Linked DNA regions of Lonchura striata. The protein of the gene in region 1 interacts with the protein of each later gene in a biochemical or structural test. Links are inferred from orthologs where the notes say so. Each region holds a gene or a part of one and is shown in the gene's direction. Other genes may lie near its edges.

Region 1 (7,007 bases):
GATCAGGTTAAGTTTCTTTGAGGTTGAATTATCCCTCTAAAATGTATTAAATTGAAAAGAAAATCCAAATTGCTGCCTGGCCCCAGCTTCCCCGCCAATTTCTTATTATTTCATTATCTATTTACTTTTCTAAACATTTCTCCTATCCCTCAGCTATGTAAAAGGCATGAGGCTGGGGGGGTGGGGCAGGGGGGGAAGTAAAAATGACCTCCAGATAGTGCTAAATACAGAAATTAAACATTTAAAAATCTCTTCCCTCACAAAATCTCTTTCAGCATCAGAAGGTTAAAATGCAGACAGACGGAAGTCTGAACTTTGAATGCTCAGCATCCTTTTTATCTCCTTTTTAATCCATTTCTTTCTGGTTCCTGTTCATCAGCTCAGCAACATAGATGGTTGGGTGGCAAAGTCTGACAGAAGATTTAATTCTTCATATAACTATTTGCATATAAAGCTCTTTTAAATGGTGTTGAATTACAGCTTTTGACATTTTGGGTTCATCTGAGAAAGAGTATTCTGAATGCTCTCATCCCAAAGATTCTTTGCATTCAGACCTCCCCACTTATCTCCCAGGCTCTCAGAAATGCTTGGACCCACCTGAGCACCATGAAGAGCAAGACTCCTCCATGCATGTCCTTTCCCTGGGATGTTTTGCCTAAAGCAAAACACACACCACGTGTGTGTACCTGAGCCTGGTACTCAGTGCATCTGCAACTAGGTTTTAAACCTCAAGTTACTCTTTTCAGGTTTTCTCTGTGACATTTGTCTCATTAAATTTTATTCCTTTCTCCCTTAAATGGTTTGTCTGCCTTGGCTTGGGGCTACTTGTTGATACGGTGGGTGGAGGAGACCCCTTGGTCTCCACCAGCTCTCAGAGGTAACAGGGTATTTCCACGGAGAGGGGGAAAAGGCAGGGAATGAAAAGGAAGAGTTCAGACTTGTAAGTGAGGATCATCAATGCACTGCTTGTCCCAGTCAGGAAAGACCCTTAAAACCCCCAAAACATCAGAAAAGCATGAAAAACATTCTTTGTTCTGTATCAATGAGACATCCAAAAGTCTAGTTTTGAAGGTTTTCAGCAAGTTGACTCCTGCTGAATCAGCAAGGGAGAAGAAAAATGGGGAAAGAAGAGATCCAGGCCCAGCCAAACTGGGCCAGGTCCACCCTCATGGCATGGGGTGAGGGCCCATGGGCTGTGGGTAATGTCCTGCCTGGGATGGGCTCCCTGGACAGTTCTTCTCCAGGCAGATGGTTCCAGCCAGGAGCTCTCAGGGGGCTGTGTGATACAAGCTGGTGGCTCTCTCCCTCTTCCTACCTGCAAAGCAATCTTCAGAGCATCACCACAAGCAGTGAATAATTCATGACACATAACTCAGCCTTCCCATCAGCAGAACACCTGGGAGCAGCAAACACTTTCCTTTGATTTGTTCCTTATTCCAATGTCCTCACTCTGTCTTTGACTAGAAATCGAAGGCATTTTGCTCTGACATGTTGACTTTGCTCGTTCCTGTGCAGTGGCTGAGTAACAGCTGCTTTCAATTCCCACTGTTTGATTCTACTGCTCATAAAAAGCAACACAAGCTGTTTATAGATGCAAGATTAGATTTGAGCAGCTCTTTGTGCTATTCCTACAGCTTCCATTGGGCAGGATCTGGGCACCTCATGTTTTTAATGCACTCTGTGCTTTAACCTCCTAGAGGACCGTGGTGATGGGGCCAGAAGGAAGCCTGCTTGCTGCACGCTCCAGGGTCACGTCTGTCCCTGTCACTGCTGTGGCACTGACTCCTGCAGCAGAACGTGCTGTGGTAGAGAGGAACTGAGCAGAGGAGAGGTGGAAATCCACAGCAGGGACTGGGGGCCCTGGAGCTGCGATATCCCTGCTATAGCAATGATATCCCTGCTGTAGCCACAATATTCAACCATATCCTACTAGCCTTGATATCCCTGCTAGGCGTGATATTCCCGCTACAGCTGTGATACCCCTGCCCTGCAAGCCAAGAGGCTGCACTCTCACTCCTCTGTGCAAACCTTGTGTTTGAGCCCCCAGCTTCCATGGTGAAAGCAGTAACACTGAATTAAAACCAAAGTGAGACCTGCAAAGAGACAGGAAGCAAGCAGTGGGAAATGACAGAACTACAGGAAAAGAGGGAAGAGCCAGCCACACTTTAGGGATCTGTTGTGTCTCTTTATAAAGCAGAGCTGGCTTAGCAAAGCAGGCTGGAATGATGCACTTGAACAGGCTCAGTGTGTACGTCTGTACCTCTGCTTGTGCCTCCATGCCTCTTCCCCTGGCAAGGCTGCTCCCCTCCTCTGGAAAAGCTGAGGATTCCACAGAGAAAGCAGCTTTAGTCCCATGGACATTTATAAAAGCATCTGTGGGTGCCAGCGAGTGACCCCACAGGCAGAACTGCACTGTAGGACTGAGGAGTCTCTGTAAATCCAAATCTCCAAAGACAACAGCAAATGCTGACCTTTTACAGTTTGGATGTTTTACATGAATTCCAGGGGACTCTGAGGAGAGGTACAAGGAGCCCCCACGCTCTGGAGAGCCTGTATCTCCTCAGGCTTGATAAGACAGCTTCTCATACCAAAGAAGGTCTGGATGTCAGTTCTGTGCCCTGGGGAATGGGAGAGACAGATGGAGCCAGCTTTCATCCCCAGGAGGAGTTATCTGTAGTGCATGAGATCAGGAGGAGGGTGAATATGGACTGTGCTCCTTGAAAAGCTCCTTCCTGGAGCCCCAGACCACGTCACACACCACCATCATCACCATCAGCAAGTGAGGCCAAAGGCCTTCAGAGGAGGAGACACTTCATGTTGCTGTCACCCTCCTTTTGTCTGGCAAAATGACTTGGATCGACCTGATTAGGAAACCAGGTGTCCATCCCAGGGGACAGCACTACCCTGCAGTTAAAATTTATTTGTCTCAGGTGAAGGATTGAAGAAAGCTTTGCCTGCTCACACCCTGAGCGCAAACACCCGCAGATCTGCTGCCAATACCAAATGTGTAAGTACACCTTCCAGAAGTGCAGGGGAAGAGGGCAGGCTGACCCCTCCTGCTCCACACACAGCTTTTGTTCTCAAATAAAGATACAGCCCCTGCCCACGCGTGTTCGGCAGCACATCAGGATCTGACCAAAGCCCTGAGCAGAGTCTGAGTTAGGTGTGTGTGCATCGGGGTTACGGCAAGCCCACAGCAGGATTTGGACAAGGAAGGCCTCTGCTAGCTGCAGGCAGCTATTGATAGGTCAGTATATTTAATAAATTGGGGTTTACTTGTACATCTTTATTCCATTATTTTGCTAAAGCTTTGTGTGTCAGATACTGTAACGGGCAAATTACCTGCTTTGTGGTCTGCCAGTTTTACTCCTGGATATGAGGACATCGGGAGGAATTTCTTCACAGAATGTTGTTAAACACTGGAAGGGGCTGCCCAGGGAGATGTCCAAGGAACGACGGGAGGGGCACTCAGTGCTCTGGCCTATGGCCAAGGCGGCTCGATGGTTTGGGAGGTGTTTCTCAACATGACCCTGCGATTTCTGATACCGCGGCTGGACGCACCGCGGAGCCCCTCAGCACGGAGCCCTCGGGGACAGAGCCGGGCCGCGCTGGACCCGACACGGGGAGCGGGGACACGGGAGCCGCTGGCCAAACCACGCGCACCCCGGGAGACGCAGGGGTTCGCGACAGAGCTGGGCATCCCCCGAGCCCACCCTGCGGCACCAAGTGCAAGTTCTGCGGGCCACGGGCGCTCCGGGGGACGCGCCACACGCTCGTCCCTCTCCGCTCGGCTCGGCCATCTCCGGCTCGGCTCGGCCATCTCCGCCCCACTTCGGCCATCTCCGCCCCACTTCGGCCATCTCCGGCTCGAGCAGTTTCCTCCCGGCTGCCGAGCGCGCCTTTCCCAGCTGTTTTCCGTCGACGCTCGGCTCTTTCCGCCTCCGCCTTCGGGTATTTCCGGCGGGCGGTTCGGCTATTTCCGCCGCCGGTTCGGGCGGACTCGGCGCCCGCCGGCCTCGCTCGCTCCGGTAACGGTCGGTGCGGGTTCAAATGAGCCGCGGTCGGGCCGGGCCCCGCCGTGACTCGCTCTGAGCCGGGCCGGCACCGGGGCCGCCCCGCTCGGGCTCGGCGACCAGGAGGCGGAGGCCGGGGAGAGCAGGATGACGGTGCTGCAGGAACCCGTCCAGGTACCGACCCCCGGGCGGCTCAGGCCCCAAAGCCTGGCCCGGCCCGGGTTAGGCCGCTCCGGGGCCGGGGCTCCGGGCCGCTCCCGGAGGCCCCTCGGCCGGTGGGCCCGCTGGAGCTGCAGCTCCTCCGCCCTCCTCCTGCCGGAGCCCGCCGAGCTTCCCCTTCCAGCCTCCCTGCCGTCCCCGGGCCGGCCGCGCTCGCCCCTTTGCCCCCGGGGCCCCGGGGGGAGGTGCCGGGGTCCCCGCCGCTCCTCCGCCGACCCGGCTCCGGGAAAGGGCCCCGCCGATCCCCCGGGAGACCTGTTGATACTTCGCTCACCTTTCTGCGTGTGCTGCCGTGTCGTGTTTAAATGCTCGCAGCGTGCTCGGATCCCTCTGTGTCGTGCGAGTGAAGGACGTTCCTTCTGCCCAAGGAGTTGGATTTTTCGGATTAATGGGAGATCTAGGAGAGAAAATAATGCAAATTTCATTTTTCTCTCGTGTTTCAGTCTCACTGCAGTTACTGTGATGGGTTTCCTGTTCTTGAGCTCAGCCTTCCCATCCAAAAGTCGTGATTCACGGAATTAAAAGCTGCTTTTTCTTTCTGCAGTTCCTGTATGCCCATTCTCTAACTATTAATAATCTTCATTAATCAGTCATCTCATTCACATTCCCATTCTTTTTAAGTCTATTTTTAGCATTTTAGCAGGATGTTTTGGGCTTTTTTTCTAGTTCCTGGCAGCAGTGTCTTGTTGGAGTATGACTGTGTTCTGTGATGAACATAGTGAGAATTCTTGCTTTTGGCTCTTTTCTTTCTAATGAAAAGGTGGAAGGGGAGGAAAGGCTCCTGTGGCAAACCATCCTGCTGACTTGGCCCTGTCTGTGGCGGATGGTGACAATGAGGGCATTCTTGTAGACCAGGGGTTTGTGTCCTTGATGCCACCGCTCTCCTCATCCCCTCTGAGAGCAAGGGTCGTGCAGTGCTGGAAATGCTTTTGGCCACCTGGTCCCTCTCCTGCCGAGGCCATCCTACATCACTGGTGTCAGCTGTCGAGCTGGGCTGGTGGTTTTGCACCAGCTGGGCATTCTAGGAAAACATGGGATTAGAACAGAAAAGGAAGCAAGATCACACTGCAGCGTGAACGAGTGAAGCTGACAGGAAACAATACCAAATGTTTCCAGTGCTGTGCTAACTAGACTGACCAAGTGAAAATGTCCGCTCTCCTGAGTGCTCCCTGATAGAAATGTGGGGCCTTGTGGTAATTCAGCAAGGTGAAGACCGCTCTAATGCTCTGTTCTGCATCATTATGCATCCAAAACGTTCTCCATTCTTAACCTCTTCCCAGCTTGGATGTTTTGATGAGGCTTTGCTATGTTAATATATCTATTTAGATTCTGCTTTTAAATGACAGATCATTCCTTTAGCAGTAGTTCTGCTGCTGTCAGTTTTACTGCTGTTCCTTGCTTACAGGAGTTACTGGTAAGTTTAGGAATTATTTGTGACTGTGTGAAGTCCGTTGCATTTCTGAATTCCCAGTTTAGCTGAAGTCCACATACGTAGCTCTGTTTTTGTAATATTCTTAAATGAAGTGATTGGGAAAGTTGACACTAGTTCTGATTTTTGTCATTGCAGAGATTGTTCCTGTCTATTTGTCTGTTCTCTCCCAGCCTTTCAGATGTCTACAGGGCTCAGCATTCCAGGAAAGAACTGTCATCCTCACATCCTCACAGCTGTGATGTTACTTATTTGTCACAGCGTGACAGATAAATAACAGAATTTGTGTTTGTATGTAGCCTTAGAAATGTTGTGCTTCAATTACATGAAATTCATGCACCAGGAGGCATTCTGGCCACTGGTTAGGTTTTTGCTAACTTTTAAAATTCTTTTCAGTTGAAGAGAGTGCCAGAGTTTACAGCCCTGTGCTGTACTTCCGGATACGGTCAATTTAAAACCCTTCAGCTCCAACATAAATCCATGTGTCCCATGTGCTAAGAAACAGGCTGGATGCCTTCCAAATACTTCTGAAAAACATCTTGGAAAGAAAATGAGCACTTTGCTTGGAATTGAGCTGTTCAAGGTGATCATCTGCTGTGACTCACTGGAATGGTGCTTGAACTTGGCTGCAAACTGCAGGACCAACATGTTCAGTGGGCAGAGTTTGTGTAACTGGGGAATGCAGCACAGCCCATCCTGGAGCTTTCCTCCTCCCTGCCCACCCCGAAGACTGAAATCGTGGCAGAATCTGCTTAGCGTGGCAATATAGGCTAAACAGCTTGGAAAACAATTTCCAAGGTTGTATAACTGTCAGACGAGAACATCTCTTAAGAGCTATTTGGCTTAGATATGAAGTGACACTTGGACAATGCACAGGATTTTCTGGGTAGAAGATGGACCTTTCTGAATCTGATTTTATTTTCCTGCCCCCCTTTCTGAAGTTGCCTTGCTGCAGGGCTGTGTATGGTAGTTTTGGAATTCCCTGTTAATTTTGCATTTCAAATTAATTATTTTTTAAAAGAGTGATTAAGACCTGGAGGTTCATCCTCTCTGCAAGCACACTTGAATAAAATGTGGAAACACTTCCAACTTTTCTCATTCATATGAGGCAGCCCTGAGAACACTGTTCTGTGTGGTTTAGCAGTTGTGTACCACTAGTGCTGTGTATATGCATTGTGCTTCTTCTAGAATAAAATAAATTACTGTGCTATATTGAGATTAATGTTCCTGTCCTAGACGGTGGGCAAGAAATCCTCTTTTTTGAGACACAGTCATGGTTTAGGTATCTGTTCTCATGAACAATTATTGCTGCATAGGTATGGCTGATTCCCTGCTGCCTTCCTTTC
Region 2 (7,407 bases), on another chromosome or scaffold:
ACAAAGAGCACATCAGCAGAGAAGACAAGATAGTGGAAAAAAAAGCAAGATGGCAGGGACACAAAGGGCAATCAAAGCAGAGCTTCATGCAGGATACAAAACACAATTTACCATTGGCCCCAAATGCAGAAACACTGCTACATAATATTCTAGAAGAATGCTCTTAGCTTTCTCTGTGACAGACACACATTGGAGAACTGCTCACTGTATCCCCAACAAAATTTCCAATTCTTTGAAAGAACAGCAAATTCTAAAACTGTTGCTGTTATTTAGAGCTTGCCATGCCTTTGAACACTGAAGATTTAGACTGCAACATCTCATATAATGTAAATATAACCAAGTTGCAACTCTAAAAGCTTAAAAAAGAATTAAGGAGATATTTATTCAGGAATTTAGTTAGGATTTACAGGAACACTAAGCACAAAAGGCAGAATTCAAGTTTGACAAACACAGCCAGATTTTTTTAACCTGCTTAGTCTTTAACTGAAAAATACTTGCAGCAGTAAAGATGGGAATAACTGTGAGCCCTGGAACACAGACCAGCAACTGGCCAGCACTGACTATGCAAATCTCTCAGTCCTCTCTCTCAGAGGCAGTTCTTAAATTTCAAACACACTTTTCTTCTTTCAGTTCCATTTTATAAGCAATAAGTATACAGAAGCCAACAGTGTTTGCTTCATAGAATGGGCAAGAAAAGAGGAAGAATCTTCTGCTGGGGAGGTCTGTAAAAAGCACTGTAGTCTGGGCTGGGTGGCAGATCGAGCTCGCTGTGCCATCTAGTGACAACCCACGAGGGGACAGCACAGCCTCTGCAAGGAGGCTTTAAAAAACCTATTTCTGACCAGTAGAAGTCTCTGTTTTTTTCCCCATTTCGTAAGTCACTGAGCAGTGATTTTATCTTAAACTAATTTGCTTCTTCTTAAGGAAACATCTTCTGTTCCAAATTATATTAAACATTACTAAACCAATGCACAGTCATCACCTCAGTACTAGTCAGACTTTATCTTTAAATAGGAGAAGAGCATTTTGGTATATGAAAAAAATTACTACATGGAAAACAAGCTCTTCTGACCCAAAATTCCATGTCAATAATTTCAGCAACAATAATAATCACACAGAATTTCAGTCTGTAATTGGAACACAAAGCAATTCTCACTTCAAAAAGATGCTTCAAGTTTTTGAGTGTGACACAGAACGTGCTGGTGTGTTAGGAAAACCTTTAAATTACGGGAGGGTATAACACCCAACAACAGACCCTGTATAGAGAGTTAAAGAGTCAGAAAGCATCAGTAATCTGTTTTATATTTATTCAGCCTAAGGAAAAACATATTACCTAAGTTGACTTACCACTTGCTCCAGCTTCCCTGATGCCAACTCCTCCTGAAGCTTCTGGGCTTTCAGTGTGCGTTTGGCCTGTGCAGCAAAAGAATGCATTTATTTAAATATTTCTCCCTAGCACCACTCTAATATCAGCAGAACACATTACAAGTGTCCCTCCTCCCAGCCCAGCCACACCAAACACTAACTCTCTCCCCAGTAAATCACAGCCCCTACGTACCAGATCAACCTTGGAGTACTCCTCTACGATCTTCATGTGCTCCTCTGGGTTATAACCATTCCACCGGTCTCGCTTCCCATCGTAATCAAACATCAGCTGAGGCTGCACGTGTTCATCTGGGGCAATATTCATGCCTGTGTATTTTGCTCCAACTTTCCTGGGCCTCTGAAAGAAAAAAAAAAAGATATATCAGTCTGTTAGGTTACTCACTCACATATCCTTTTAAAAATATTATCAATCAAGATCCTCTAAAGCAAACTAAATTCAGCACTGTAAGGCTGTGGACTGTAAATTAATGCAAGTAGTTCTGCATGTTTATGTAGCACAGCTGACTTCAAACTCCATAAATTCTTATTTCTATTTTCTACAATTAAGGAAGTAATTAAAACAGTTTCTGGGAGTGGCTTCTACCGGAGATGAAGCAGGAAGACAGACACAACAGCACGAGTTAATGCAATTAACAAGAAAATAACATTTTCATCTATTATTTCAGATCCTATTACAAATGGAATTGATGGATGACAGAATTCTACTTTTCATTAATAATTTCTTTAGAAATTTCTAGGCCATCTCTCACTACTTGTAACATTTTTCAAAACAGCTTTTCCAAACCCAGTATTTCATCTGCAGCCAGCTGACTTCACAAAGATTAAATTCCCGTGGCATTCACAGCCATAAGACAGGGCTAGGAGTGGCTTTACCTCCATGCAGTCCTTCTTCTTGTGTGTCAGGGCGCCGCAGTTCTCGCAGGCTCCTTTGCGGTACCTCGTGGCCACGGCGTGCTGGGGGCAAGCACAGCGTCAGCCCTGGGACAGCTCACAAGGGATCCCAAAAACACCTCCAGGAGTGAGTGCCCTCCCCAAAGCCCAAACAGCTGTTCTGCCTGCTGAATAAAAACTCCTGCCCCCCTCAGAAACACATAACCAGGAATCTCCTCGTGTAATAGACCCAAATCCGTATTTCATGAGAGAAGCGCTTTGCACACGTGTGTAAGTACATTTCTCTCCCTCTTAGGGTTTTTTATAGAGGTGTACAGAGAGAAATGAAAGAGAAAATAATTTCTATTTCTGCTTCTTATTTTTCCTATACAGAATGTGTTTAGAGAATTACTTACCTAGAGTGAGTGCTTAATTAAATTCTAGTGAGGCTTGTTTGAGCCTGATGGCCAATCCAATCCACCTGTGTCTAAACTCTCTCTCATCACAAGGTGTGTAAGAGTTATAAATAAAGTCAGAAAAAATAGTATGTAGTTTTAATATCCTCCTTTATACAGTATATTAATGTATTTTAGCATAGTTATAATACAGAAATAATTCAGCCTTCTAAATTAAGTCAAACATTGTCATTTCTTCCCATTAAGTTTGGCTACATTTACAATATGTACCTCCTGAACGCCTCGTTTGTACCAATCTCCAGAGGAGTTATACTGCTTCTGCTTCTCTGGCTGAGGTCTCTGATGCTTTAGTGTGGGTCTCTTGGAAGGATCTATGTACCATGGCACTGAGGAGATGTACTGAGGAATATGAGGGTTGATATCTCTGCAAAAGATGTTGCGCAGTCAACACACGGCATGGGGAAAAAGCCCAAAATAACTCATTCTAATGAACAACATTCACGTTAAAGCACAAGTGATAATAAATAATGAAGCTGGTACAAAGCACCACAAAATAAATTCTCAGTTTAATAAACACAGACTTTGAGGCTTTGTTGCCACCGAATTCACCTAAACTCCTGACTCCAAATCAAATGGCTTATTCTGTGTAGTGTTACTGAGCAAAAAAAAAAAGCAACACTGCTCAGAAGCAACAAGCCCTGCAAAAACAAGGGAGAGGCAACAGATGAGCTACAGTGTAAAAGACTCCTGTGCTATGTCTTGCTCACTTTTGAAATACCCCGTGCTATTACCTTCATGGATGGGACTTTTTAGTAGAACTGTCAGCAGCTGACAGAAAATAAACATTGAACCTACATTTTTCTATAAAAAATCGTATGACTGGAACATTAAAATACAAAGTTCAACTATTTACTTCTACAGGACCTCACACTGAAATCATGTGTCACCCTCACAATTGTTCTTTAACCACAACAAGAAAAGAGATTTTTCCTCAGCCACTTTACAATAAGCACAGCTTTAGCAAAACATACTTTCCTTCTTCATCCACTTCAGCAGGTGCATTCCCCAGTTTTCTCTGTTCTTCTAATTCTTTCTTTTTCCTCCAATCTTCCCTTGTCATCTTCTTTGGCTCCTCCAGGCTCACATCAGTTGCCCCCCCTGCAGGAGGGGCGTTTGCTACCGCACCTGAGGCCATTCTGGCTTTTTTCCTTAGGAAAAAATAAAAATAGAAGACAAAAGAAAAGCGTTACTCATCAATACCCTCTGACATCACAGCTCTTCAACGCGATTTTGTGTCACGGAAATGAGCTAACCCGAATTATGCATTTCTGACATACCTCTGTGCTGGAAAACGAGCCCCACTGCAGAAACACAGAATTACCTCACTGCTAACCCGGACCCGGACCTGCCCTAGCCCGGCAGGGAGGCGAGAGAGCGACCGGGGGCAGCGGCGCCAGGCCCGGGCCGGCAGCGCTCGCTCGGAGCCCCGAGCCGCGCTCTCAGGGTCCAGGTCCCGGTCCCTTTCCCAGTCTCGGTTCCCGATCCCAATCTCGGTTCCCGGTCTCGGTTCCCGGTCCCGGTCCGTCCCCCCAGCCCTGTTTACCTGCCAGGCCGCTGCGCCGTCCCACAATGCCCCGCGGCCCCGCTCACTTCCGGGGCGGACCCACCTCCCGGAACTCGCGTGCAGCGGCGCGCGAGCGGCGCGCGCAGCCAATCGGCTGCCGCGCGTGGGTCGAAGCGGCCAATGGGCGGCTGCGGGCCGGTTTAAAAGACGGCGCCGTTGGGTGTAGGAGCGCCCTGACTGAGCTTTGCCGGTGGTGCTGCTTGCTGAGGTGAGCTCGGGCTTCGGCACCGTGAATCTTGCCTTCCGCTTCAGGCTGTACAAAGGGAAAGAGTTCCGCACAGAAAAAGGCAGGGAAGCTGGGGAAGGGTTTGGAGCGCAGGTGTGATTTTGGAGTTGCTGGGAGCGTGCTCAGCTGAAGGAGAGGAAGCTTAGGCGAGGCTTTGTTGCTCGCTACAATCACCTGAAAGCAGGTTGTAGCCAGGTGGATGGAGATCGGTGTGTTCTCTTAGGCAACCAGCAACAGGACAAAAAGAAATGGCATCAAAGTGTCTGTGGGGGATTTGAGCTGGCCATGAGGAAGAATTCCTGACAGAAAGGGTGGTTAGACATTAGAAAGGGCTGCCAGGAGAGGTGGTGCAGTCATTGTAGAGGTGTTTAAGGAAAAGCTGGATGTGGCACCCAGTTGCGTGGCTGTATTTAGGTTGGACTCGATTATTCAGAGATCCTTTCCAGCCTCACTAACTGTGACTGAGTTTTCTTGCAGATGTCTTTAATGAGGAATTGCTTGTTCACCTGGGTAATGGTAGTGATGAGCCCTAACAGTGCCTTCAAACCTGAGAGTCTTTAGCTGAACTGCTCTATAACGGTGGGAAGTAGGGGTTTGTTCCCCTTGTCTAGAGATTAGTATGTGATAGCTGTTATTTTTAATGGGGCTTGCTTAAAAATGTGGTGCGATGAGACAAATGACAAAAGTGCTTTCCCTTTTTCCTCTGCAGAGTAATCACATCAATCTGAAGATGGCAACTCTGATCTTTGTTGACCAGGAGAATAGTGAACTTCATGCTCCCAAGAGTCAGCTGAAGCTCCCTTCAGGATCTTGTGCGTATTTGCTGCCCTGAGCCAGTAGGGATCAAGTGAAGGGCATAAATCAGTTTTAGTCACTGCTTTTAATGGTAATAGTTTCCTATTCATAAATCCACTTACCTGACCAATTCTTCTGAGGTCATCAGTTGGTATAAAATTGACGATAACTCTGTGCTTTTGTCATAAGTGTGGCTTATGAGTTATAGATGGTGAACAGTGCTTTCTATGACAGCTACTTTGCCAGCATGTGCACTTACTTTGCCAAGCTTTAGGGTTGATGATGTTTGCTTTTTTCCTTTCTCCCCCATTCCAGCAAAAGCCTTAGCTGAAAGAACACAAGTTAACACTCCACTTCCTAAAAAAGCAATCAGTACTTCTCCAGTCACATCTCGCTCTGTCAGAAAGGCTCTTGGAAATGTGAATAAAACTGAAGTCGTCACAAGCAAGACAGATAAGTTAAAACAGAAAAATCAGCCTTGCACTGTGAACAAAGTGAGTACAACACACTTATGCTGGGAAGGAGGGGAAGTCCATAATTTACTTGCTGTTGAGGCTTAACTCTAACATAATTAAGCACCACACAGATGTTCCCTTAGTCCCTCTTTGATGGGATAGGGGGTGAGACTTGGAAGGGTTAATGTGAGAAAAATAATAGGCTAAAGTTAAGTCAATTTAATAAATAAAAATCTTGAAAAACAAAACCAATTCCTTGCCACCAGCTGACTAATGCCTTGCCAGTCCCAGAGCAGTGTCAGCCCTGCTCTCCCACCACTTTTCCTTGCTGAGATGCTATGCAGTATGGGGCATCCCTCTGGGCAGCTGGGGTCAGCTCTCCTGGCTGTGTACCCCCAGCCTCCTCACTGCTGGGGTTGTGAGAAGCAGAGAAGGCCTGGACTGTGCAAACACTGCCTGGCAATAGCTGAAAGAGCAGTTTTCATCATGAATCCAAAACATGGTTCATAAAAATTGCTAGGAGGAAAAATAACTCTCTCCGACTTAGAAGCAGGGCATCTGTGTAGAGGCTTATAGAGAAAATAGTCTGAGCTAATGTCTTATCAACATCTTAAGAGTCAGCTGTTCTAGGGCAGTCATCTCTTGCCACCATATATAGTACTGCACTGCATAAACTCAGCTGAAATGTTTGCCCATCTTATTTGTGTTGAAGGCATTAGAATTTAGGCCTGACTGAGAAAAGTATGGCAGGTATATTGTCTGTAGACCTGAATAGCATAAGAAAGCCACTACAAATATTTTACAGTAGCTCAAATTATGTTACTTCCTCTCTTTTTATGACAAACAAAAAGACTGGATTTGAAAGCTGCCATACAGTGGTTGAAGAAGATTGGCCAGAAATAGAAAATATGTTTCCTTTGGATCCTCAAGGTAAGAACTATTGATGTAATTAAAATTAGCAAGAAGGCTTTAATGAGTTGTGGCATTGTAAGAATTTGTCCAAGCTACTGTGGCACACAAGCCAGCATTGCATTTCTTCTGAGTCCTTTCTGAAACATGAGGGTGCTTGTTGCTTCTGAAATGCTTTAACAGGAATGAGCTGGTATTTCTAACTGTAATGGCTGTGCCTCAGATGTGTTACTCTGAGTCTCTTATTGTGGTGACAAGATACAGAAAAGTCTACCAAGATTTGTAATTGAAGAGATTCCTACTGCTCTAGGATATAATAGTTGAAGATTAAACTTCTAAAGCTGTTCTTAAGTCATCCCATTTCAGATTTCTCAGTCCTTCAAAGTGTCCTTAAAGCTTTCCTCTTAATGTGGATGTGTGTGAAAACCACTGTGCCAAAGATGAAATGTACATGCTTTGTTTGCTGAAGTTACTGCTTTACAGTGGCAAGTCTATTAGGCAGTCTAGTGTTTTTATCAGGGTTGGTGTATGGGATTTCATGGACAACTGAAAGGTGTAGCTGCAAGTAAATATCCCATAAGAGGAGACTGTGTTGTTTTAGATTGGCTCCTATTTAATTTAGTCTAGAAGAGTTTGCAGTTCCCAGGCTACAGCACACTTAACAGTCTTTCTTAAACAGACTTTGAGAGTTTTGATCTTCCTGAAGAGCACAAACTAAGCAATATC
Region 3 (6,927 bases), on another chromosome or scaffold:
CTAAACAAGTAGGGAATTACAAAATGTTTGAGAGATCATGGTAAAATTGTTTGATGCTCAAATTTAGTTGTATTTATGCCTCTGTATAAATAGCTGAAGCAGTTATCTTTGTTACTGTTACAAAAATCAAAATCTGTAAATACATTGTAACATCTGCAGTGTTTTTCTTTTGAAGATGACACATAGGATAAAAGTTCTAATGGCAAAATAATTCACACTTAATTGCACAATATGTCCAGTAATGTGATAAGGGTCCCGAAGGTGACTACAGCTATCTCTGCAAAGCTAATCCAGAATTAAAAACCTGGTAATGTGGCTTTAAAGCTTAGTTTCAGAATGTTCAATTTAAACTTTTCCAAGATCATAAATAATGTTATATATTTTGCAGCTTGGTTTCACTGTAACAATTGCAAGTGCTGCGCTCTTCCAAAGCACAGCTGTGAGAAGACTGACATTGGCTGTTTCGTTTGTGGCAAGGCAGGTCACAAGCGCAGTGCCTGTCCCAGTCTCTCCCGCCCCAGAACAGCTTGTCAGTAAGTGTCATATTGCATTAGTACAGTAACATACAGCATTCAGATGAGATGAGATGTCACGGAATCAGTTCAGAAGGAGATGATATTTTGCTTTAGGTGCTGATGTCAGCTTTCCCTATTGCTCACTTGCTGGACTGTTGGGGAGTATATACTGAAGGGAGGGTATGATAAAAGGCAGGTCACTTTCTGGGGCTTCCAATTCCCTGTCTGTGGGTTTTCTTTCAAAACTGATTTATATGGATTCAGACTTGGTGACTGGTGCATGGAACTCTGTCAAGGTGACTGAAAATTGAAGTAATGGAACACTTTCATCCCCTTTGAGTTCCTCATGCAATGGCAGAGAAAACAGACACAATATATTAGAGTCACCAAGAGTCACATTGAGTACTTTTAGTCTTCCATGATTTTCCTTTTGTTACATACAGAACAACACTGTATGCATACCTGTATGTATCAGAGAGCCAAGTAAATGGTTTTTGGTTGTCTTCAGATGGAACTAACTGAAAAGAGGAAAGCGGATTTGCTAAGAGATGATCCAGCAGATGGCTCAGTCTTTCCAGTTCAGGATAATTGATTGCACTACTATAAATTCCTTTCCAGAGTAATGGGTTTTTCTGTGATTCTGGACTTGAATGGCTGTAGCAGTGGAAGGCAAATTTTCCCTCCCAAAAGCTGTACCTGTGTTACACAGTGAGACTCAGACCATTACCCTCTTGAATCAGTATCCAGGGACTCACCAGATGCCTGCTGGATAGCAGATGGGTACAGGTGTATTGCTTCATGTCCTACTGACACTAAACCAGATTTTGTTTAGGGAGTATTAGACACAAAACGTAGCAATGTTTCATTTTATATATCTCTCATAAAAATTGCGTCTCTTAATGTTTCTTTTTCCTTTGGTAAAGAAATTAAAAAGGATGCTAAAAGAATTTATGAAACCTCATCTGTTTTTTCTGTCAAGGAAGATACTGTTCTATCAGTTGTGCCGCAATGGTTTTAATATTTTAGGCCATCAGTTAGTTCTTTTGCTGACTCGTTGCAGAAGATAGCTTAGATTTCTTTTTCGAATAAAAATGTTGTATGTTTTGTTACAATTACTCAGAATTTTGTGTTGTGACATCTTTTGTCAGAGATAGAAAACAATCCACTTGTTAGTTGTATTTAGGTCTTGTACTAATTGCAGGATGCTTTCTAATGGTGTTAAACTTCACATACTTTTTTCTAAGTCTTTCTATTATATATTAATGCAGTATATATTCAGCGTGAAACTGTGTGTGCTTTTTTTGTACTCAATGAGTGAGTTTCTTGTTTTCAGTATCTGTGTAAATTTAAATGCTGAATAAATACATAAAATGAATATATAATGGCAATAAAGTGGACAGTTTTGTGAACTTGAAAGACCATAACATTTTGAGACAGGTAATGTTCCATGTACTTCACATACTACCACATAATTAATATACTTATTTAGAATACCAGCAAATGTATTTGTACAGAGAAGTGTGTTCTTCATTTTATTCTAATCTCTGTGTTCCTTTTTTTCCTTTACAGACCTGACAAAAAGAAAGGACAGAAAACTCGAAAGAGAGTAAAAATGGGGATCTCTAAAAGATTAGCTATGAAATATGCCATATTCTCCAAGAGGAAAGTAAAGAATAAGAAAAAAATGACATGACTCTTTTTGCTGCTACATAGTTGCTAATTTATTTTTTTTATTGACAGCCTTTTGTTCCATTTTCTAAAAATGTAAGTGCTAACATCCAGAATAAAACATGATGGAATTAACAGTTCCTTTATCATCATTACTGATACCAAACAAAAAAAAAAAGCAACAAACAACTAAGTGAACTACCACAGCCCTTGTCATGTGTGTGTATAATGTGATAATGTTGTATTTAGGATTAGCTATTTGTCTAATTCGATGGGTGTTGGACGTTAAGGGTCTTAACTGCTGAGAGGTGAGATACTGCTCTGATTTTATGTTGGAGGACATGGGGCAAGGAAGAAAGTGAGGGTAGGTGATGGGAAGGCACGAGTTCTAGGAATTCAGTCTCTGTTGATTACAGTCGTCTCACAGGATGGCCAGTGATTTTTTAAAACGTTCTCTCCAAATGGAAAATGGGTTTACAAAAAAAAAATATTTAGTACTAAACAGTATGTCGTAAGTAAGCAGAGCGGGAAGAGCCTGACCAGCCTCCCCTGGCTCGGCGCTGCGGCGGCTCCGCTCCCGAGCCCCGCCCCGCTGCCGGGACAACCCGCACGGCTCCAAATCCCGCCCCGCTGCCGGGACAACCCGCACGGCTCCAAATCCCGCCCCGCTGCCGGGATAACCCGCACGGCTCCGAGCCCCGCCCCGCTGCCGGGATAACCCGCACGGCTCCCAAATCCCGCCCCGCTGCCGGGACAACCCGCACGGCTCCGAGCCCCGCCCCGCTGCCGGGACAACCCGCACGGCTCCCAAATCCCGCCCCGCTGCCGGGATAACCCGCACGGCTCCAAATCCCGCCCCGCTGCCGGGATAACCCGCACGGCTCCAAATCCCGCCCCGCTGCCGGGATAACCCGCACGGCTCCGAGCCCCGCCCCGCTGCCGGGACAACCCGCACGGCTCCGAGCCCCGCCCCGCTGCCGGGACAACCCGCACGGCTCCCAAATCCCGCCCCGCTGCCGGGATCTCCCGCACGGCTCCCAAATCCCGCCCCGCTGCCGGGATCTCCCGCACGGCTCCAAATCCCGCCCCGCTGCCGGGACAACCCGCACGGCTCCCAAATCCCGCCCCGCTGTCGGGACAACCCGCACGGCTCCGAGCCCCGCCCCGCTGCCGGGACAAACCGCACGGCTCCCAAATCCCGCCCCGCTGCCGGGACAACCCGCACGGCTCCAAATCCCGCCCCGCTGCCGGGATAACCCGCACGGCTCCAAATCCCGCCCCGCTGCCGGGATAACCCGCACGGCTCCGAGCCCCGCCCCGCTGCCGGGACAACCCGCACGGCTCCGAGCCCCGCCCCGCTGCCGGGACAACCCGCACGGCTCCCAAATCCCGCCCCGCTGCCGGGACAACCCGCACGGCTCCCAAATCCCGCCCCGCTGCCGGGATCTCCCGCACGGCTCCAAATCCCGCCCCGCTGCCGGGACAACCCGCACGGCTCCCAAATCCCGCCCCGCTGCCGGGACAACCCGCACGGCTCCGAGCCCCGCCCCGCTGCCGGGACAACCCGCACGGCTCCGAGCCCCGCCCCGCTGCCGGGATAACCCGCACGGCTCCGAGCCCCGCCCCGCTGCCGGGATAACCCGCACGGCTCCGAGCCCCGCCCCGCTCCTTGCCGCGGCGGGCAGCGCCGCCCCGGAAGCGGAGCAGGCCCGGCGGGCTCGGCGCAGCCCGCAGCCATGCCCGCCTTCAGGCAGGTGGGCGAGAAGCAGCTGCCGCAGGAGGTCGTGTTCATGGCCTGGTCCCCCAAAAGGGACCTGATCGCCCTGGCCAACCGAGCGGGGGAGGTGAGTGCGGCTGCTGGTGAGAGCTCGGGAGGAGCGGCGCTGCCCTCCCTGCAGGCCCGCATGCCTTTGCTGTTACTTGCAGCATGTTTCTCGTGAGTCTCGACAGGCATTTAAGGACAGCAATTTTTTAAGTCGAGCGTCTTACTGCTCCTTCATATTTTGCATTCTGATTTCCGAACAAATTCATATACGATGCGCTCGTTGTTTGTAGGATTTTAAATGCATGGATGGGCCTATTTAAATTAAATCTAATTTTAAGTACTTTTTCCCGTGGAACTGCAGTGTATGATCATGTAGGAAGACAAGACTTGTGCTTTCGGGCTGTCTGCTAGAGAGGTGGTGGGTAACCCCTGTTGGTTAGGAGCTTGTATCCTTATGCACCTTATTTCTCTCTTCTGCTATAAACTATGTGCTGCCCTCTAAAAGAATATAGGAGTGAATCATCTGCTAGAGGAGCAGGTGGTGTTTAAGACACAGGAGTTAAAAACGGGTAAAAAAGGTGCATCTTGAACTGATTTACTAACTTTATTAATGGGAGAATATGGTTTAAGTTTGTCTTCATGCATTCGTTTTATAGGTTTTACTTCATCGGCTTGCAAACTTTCAACGTGTTTGGAGTTTGCCTCCAAATGAAAATACAGGAAAAGAAGTGACTGCTCTTGCTTGGAGACCAGATGGCAAAAGTAATGTCAAGTATATGAGATGATATGGTGCAATAAAACCCCATGGGAACTCATGAATGATGATGCCTCTCATCTGTGAAGGAAATTTTCAAGTAAACTGTGTTTGAAGAAAAGGGTGGCTTAATTTTATGTAGGTTCATTCACAGCAATAGAGATATTAACACTGTTGAATGCAATTGCAAGAAAGATTTCAGATTTATATGCCAAATGTTGCTTTTCAGGGTATAGCAAAATTTCAACCTCCTAATTAAGCAGGATATTTTGTATGAACTACAAAGTTTATTGGGAGGGAAAGAAGCTGTTTGATCAGGATTGATTGAAAAGCTTAGCTTACTTAACATAGGCAAAACTTCATAGGCTAAAATTACTCTAATTATAGACCAGAGAAGAAAAACATAGCCTTTTCCTTATTAATAGAAATAATGTTGAAATTAGTAGCTTAATAAACTTATGCTAGAAATCAGTTAATTTTTGATTCACTAGAGGTGGGAGATGGGAACAATATTCTTCCATGACATATGTATAAAAACTACCTATATTGTTTTATGAAGGCATCTGAAGAGTTTAAGAAACTTCTTTTTAAGATGATTACCTGTGATTATAAGGAAGGAAATGGAGAAACTTCTGCCTGCAATTCTCTATTATGAGTGAAGAAAGTGATACAAAAGTTGCTCAGCTTCTAATTTGTGTTTTTTGTCCACCAAATCTTTCTGGTGGACAATGTTATACATAATATTGGACTCAAGTTTGCAAAATTGGAAGCCTCTACTTTATCAGAACTATTGTTAAAAGTGTTAGAAGCGTGTTCAGTTCTAGGTCAGTGTAAGATAGACATTTTGCTCATTGGTTATTTATACATTTTACTTGTCTTTCTCTAGTTTTGGCTTTTGGCCTTGCTGATACCAAGCGGATTATTCTGTGTGATGTAGAAAAGCCTGAAAGCTTGCACTCCTTCTCTGTGGAGTTATCTATCACATACATGCATTGGATGGAAGTAACTGAGGAAAGCAGGTGAGTCTGAAAAGTAAATCATGAGCTATGTAATGCCACCTTACTGTTAATTTTTATTCTTAATGTTACAAGCAGTTACATGAAATAATACAGTATTCCATACCTGAGGGTTTTTCTCACAACTTGACTAAATTTTCCTTTTTAGAATAGACACTTTTCATATGCTTATTTTTAGTGCTGACACCTTAGTCTTGTGGGTCTTTGGGTGATTTTGTGCATGATTTTGTGCTTCTCTTTCTTAAGAGCTGCTTAATCTAGTGTTAGCATGTACAGCCTGTCTTCTGATCCAGTTTGCTTCAATATCAATCAATTTATTAAACTAATTATAAGAATGTTATGTTCATCTCTTTTGTTAGTCAGAATAGGTATTATATTTAAATATTTATTCTGTGTTTTCAAGATTTTTATTTTGGTGTTTATGTCTTTTGTGTTTTGTCCTTGGTGTTACATCCAATTTCATTGGCAATCCTGTTCAGGAAGTCAGATTATCTCTAGTGACCATGAACTCTGTGTGATTGAACAAGTCTCAGCAGCACTTGTGTCCTGGAGGACATCATGGTCCCTATTTCTGTTGTCTTAAGGAAGCCTCTGATGTGCACCTTATGGCAGTGCAAGAACATGTTAAATAAAACACTTATTTAAAGGAGGCAGGTGGTGTAAGCTCCTGATTTGAGGATTTCCCCCCTCACCTGCCATAAGCATCAGATTTAAAATAGCAAGAAAATAGCTGTGCCTTTAACCACACTGACATTCTTCTTCTGGTGGGAATAGGCTTAGCTTTTTGTGGGGAATCTCAACCTTCTGATATATCCAAGATGTGGTATTAAGTATTGTGCTTTGATCTTCCTGTTACTGCAATGTATCTTTAGCTGTTTTGAGGTGTGGGTAGGTTGTACTGCAGGTTTGGAGAGAGTTTAAACAGAAAACCTCTGATAGTAATTGCTTTACAGGCAATGAAAAATTTGGTGACAAGCTTCTGAGCCAGCCAATACAAACTTTATTCACTGGAAATAAAAAAAGATTTTCAGTTCTTTTATTAATTTGATCACTTGATAAATTTTTAAAGGTCACATAAATTATTATCCTCTGATATTTGTAATTTTGATATACATAATGCATTGAATATATACTCTTAACTCTGGAACTGAAAAGAAAGTATTTTCTCATTTTTACAGCTTGGGTAATAAAGACGGTATTATGTCTTTT

Evidence for each region.
Region 2: the proteins of CDC27 (region 1) and PTTG1 form a complex in vitro, tested with the Homo sapiens proteins (3 studies listed by BioGRID). The link is inferred for Lonchura striata from reciprocal best matches to the Homo sapiens genes CDC27 and PTTG1.
Region 3: the proteins of CDC27 (region 1) and ANAPC4 form a complex in vitro, tested with the Homo sapiens proteins (2 studies listed by BioGRID). The link is inferred for Lonchura striata from reciprocal best matches to the Homo sapiens genes CDC27 and ANAPC4.

The regions. Positions count from the first base shown.
Region 1 is NC_134627.1:8,879,589-8,886,595, reverse strand, and holds the start of CDC27 (cell division cycle protein 27 homolog), read left to right. Parts: upstream 1-3,961; 5' UTR 3,962-4,160; coding exon 4,161-4,187; intron 4,188-7,007. UniProt on the Homo sapiens protein: Component of the anaphase promoting complex/cyclosome (APC/C), a cell cycle-regulated E3 ubiquitin ligase that controls progression through mitosis and the G1 phase of the cell cycle.
Region 2 is NC_134617.1:10,964,827-10,972,233, forward strand, and holds the start of PTTG1 (securin), read left to right. Parts: upstream 1-4,380; 5' UTR 4,381-4,504; intron 4,505-5,231; 5' UTR 5,232-5,252; coding exon 5,253-5,334; intron 5,335-5,632; coding exon 5,633-5,811; intron 5,812-6,623; coding exon 6,624-6,702; intron 6,703-7,360; coding exon 7,361-7,407. Other genes in the region: pre-mRNA-splicing factor SLU7, read right to left, coding at 1,348-1,413, 1,559-1,723, 2,260-2,340, 2,943-3,096, 3,704-3,867. UniProt on the Homo sapiens protein: Regulatory protein, which plays a central role in chromosome stability, in the p53/TP53 pathway, and DNA repair. Probably acts by blocking the action of key proteins.
Region 3 is NC_134606.1:18,431,017-18,437,943, forward strand, and holds the start of ANAPC4 (anaphase-promoting complex subunit 4), read left to right. Parts: upstream 1-3,839; 5' UTR 3,840-3,919; coding exon 3,920-4,027; intron 4,028-4,604; coding exon 4,605-4,710; intron 4,711-4,718; exon of another isoform or gene 4,719-4,840; intron 4,841-5,588; coding exon 5,589-5,721; intron 5,722-6,927. UniProt on the Homo sapiens protein: Component of the anaphase promoting complex/cyclosome (APC/C), a cell cycle-regulated E3 ubiquitin ligase that controls progression through mitosis and the G1 phase of the cell cycle.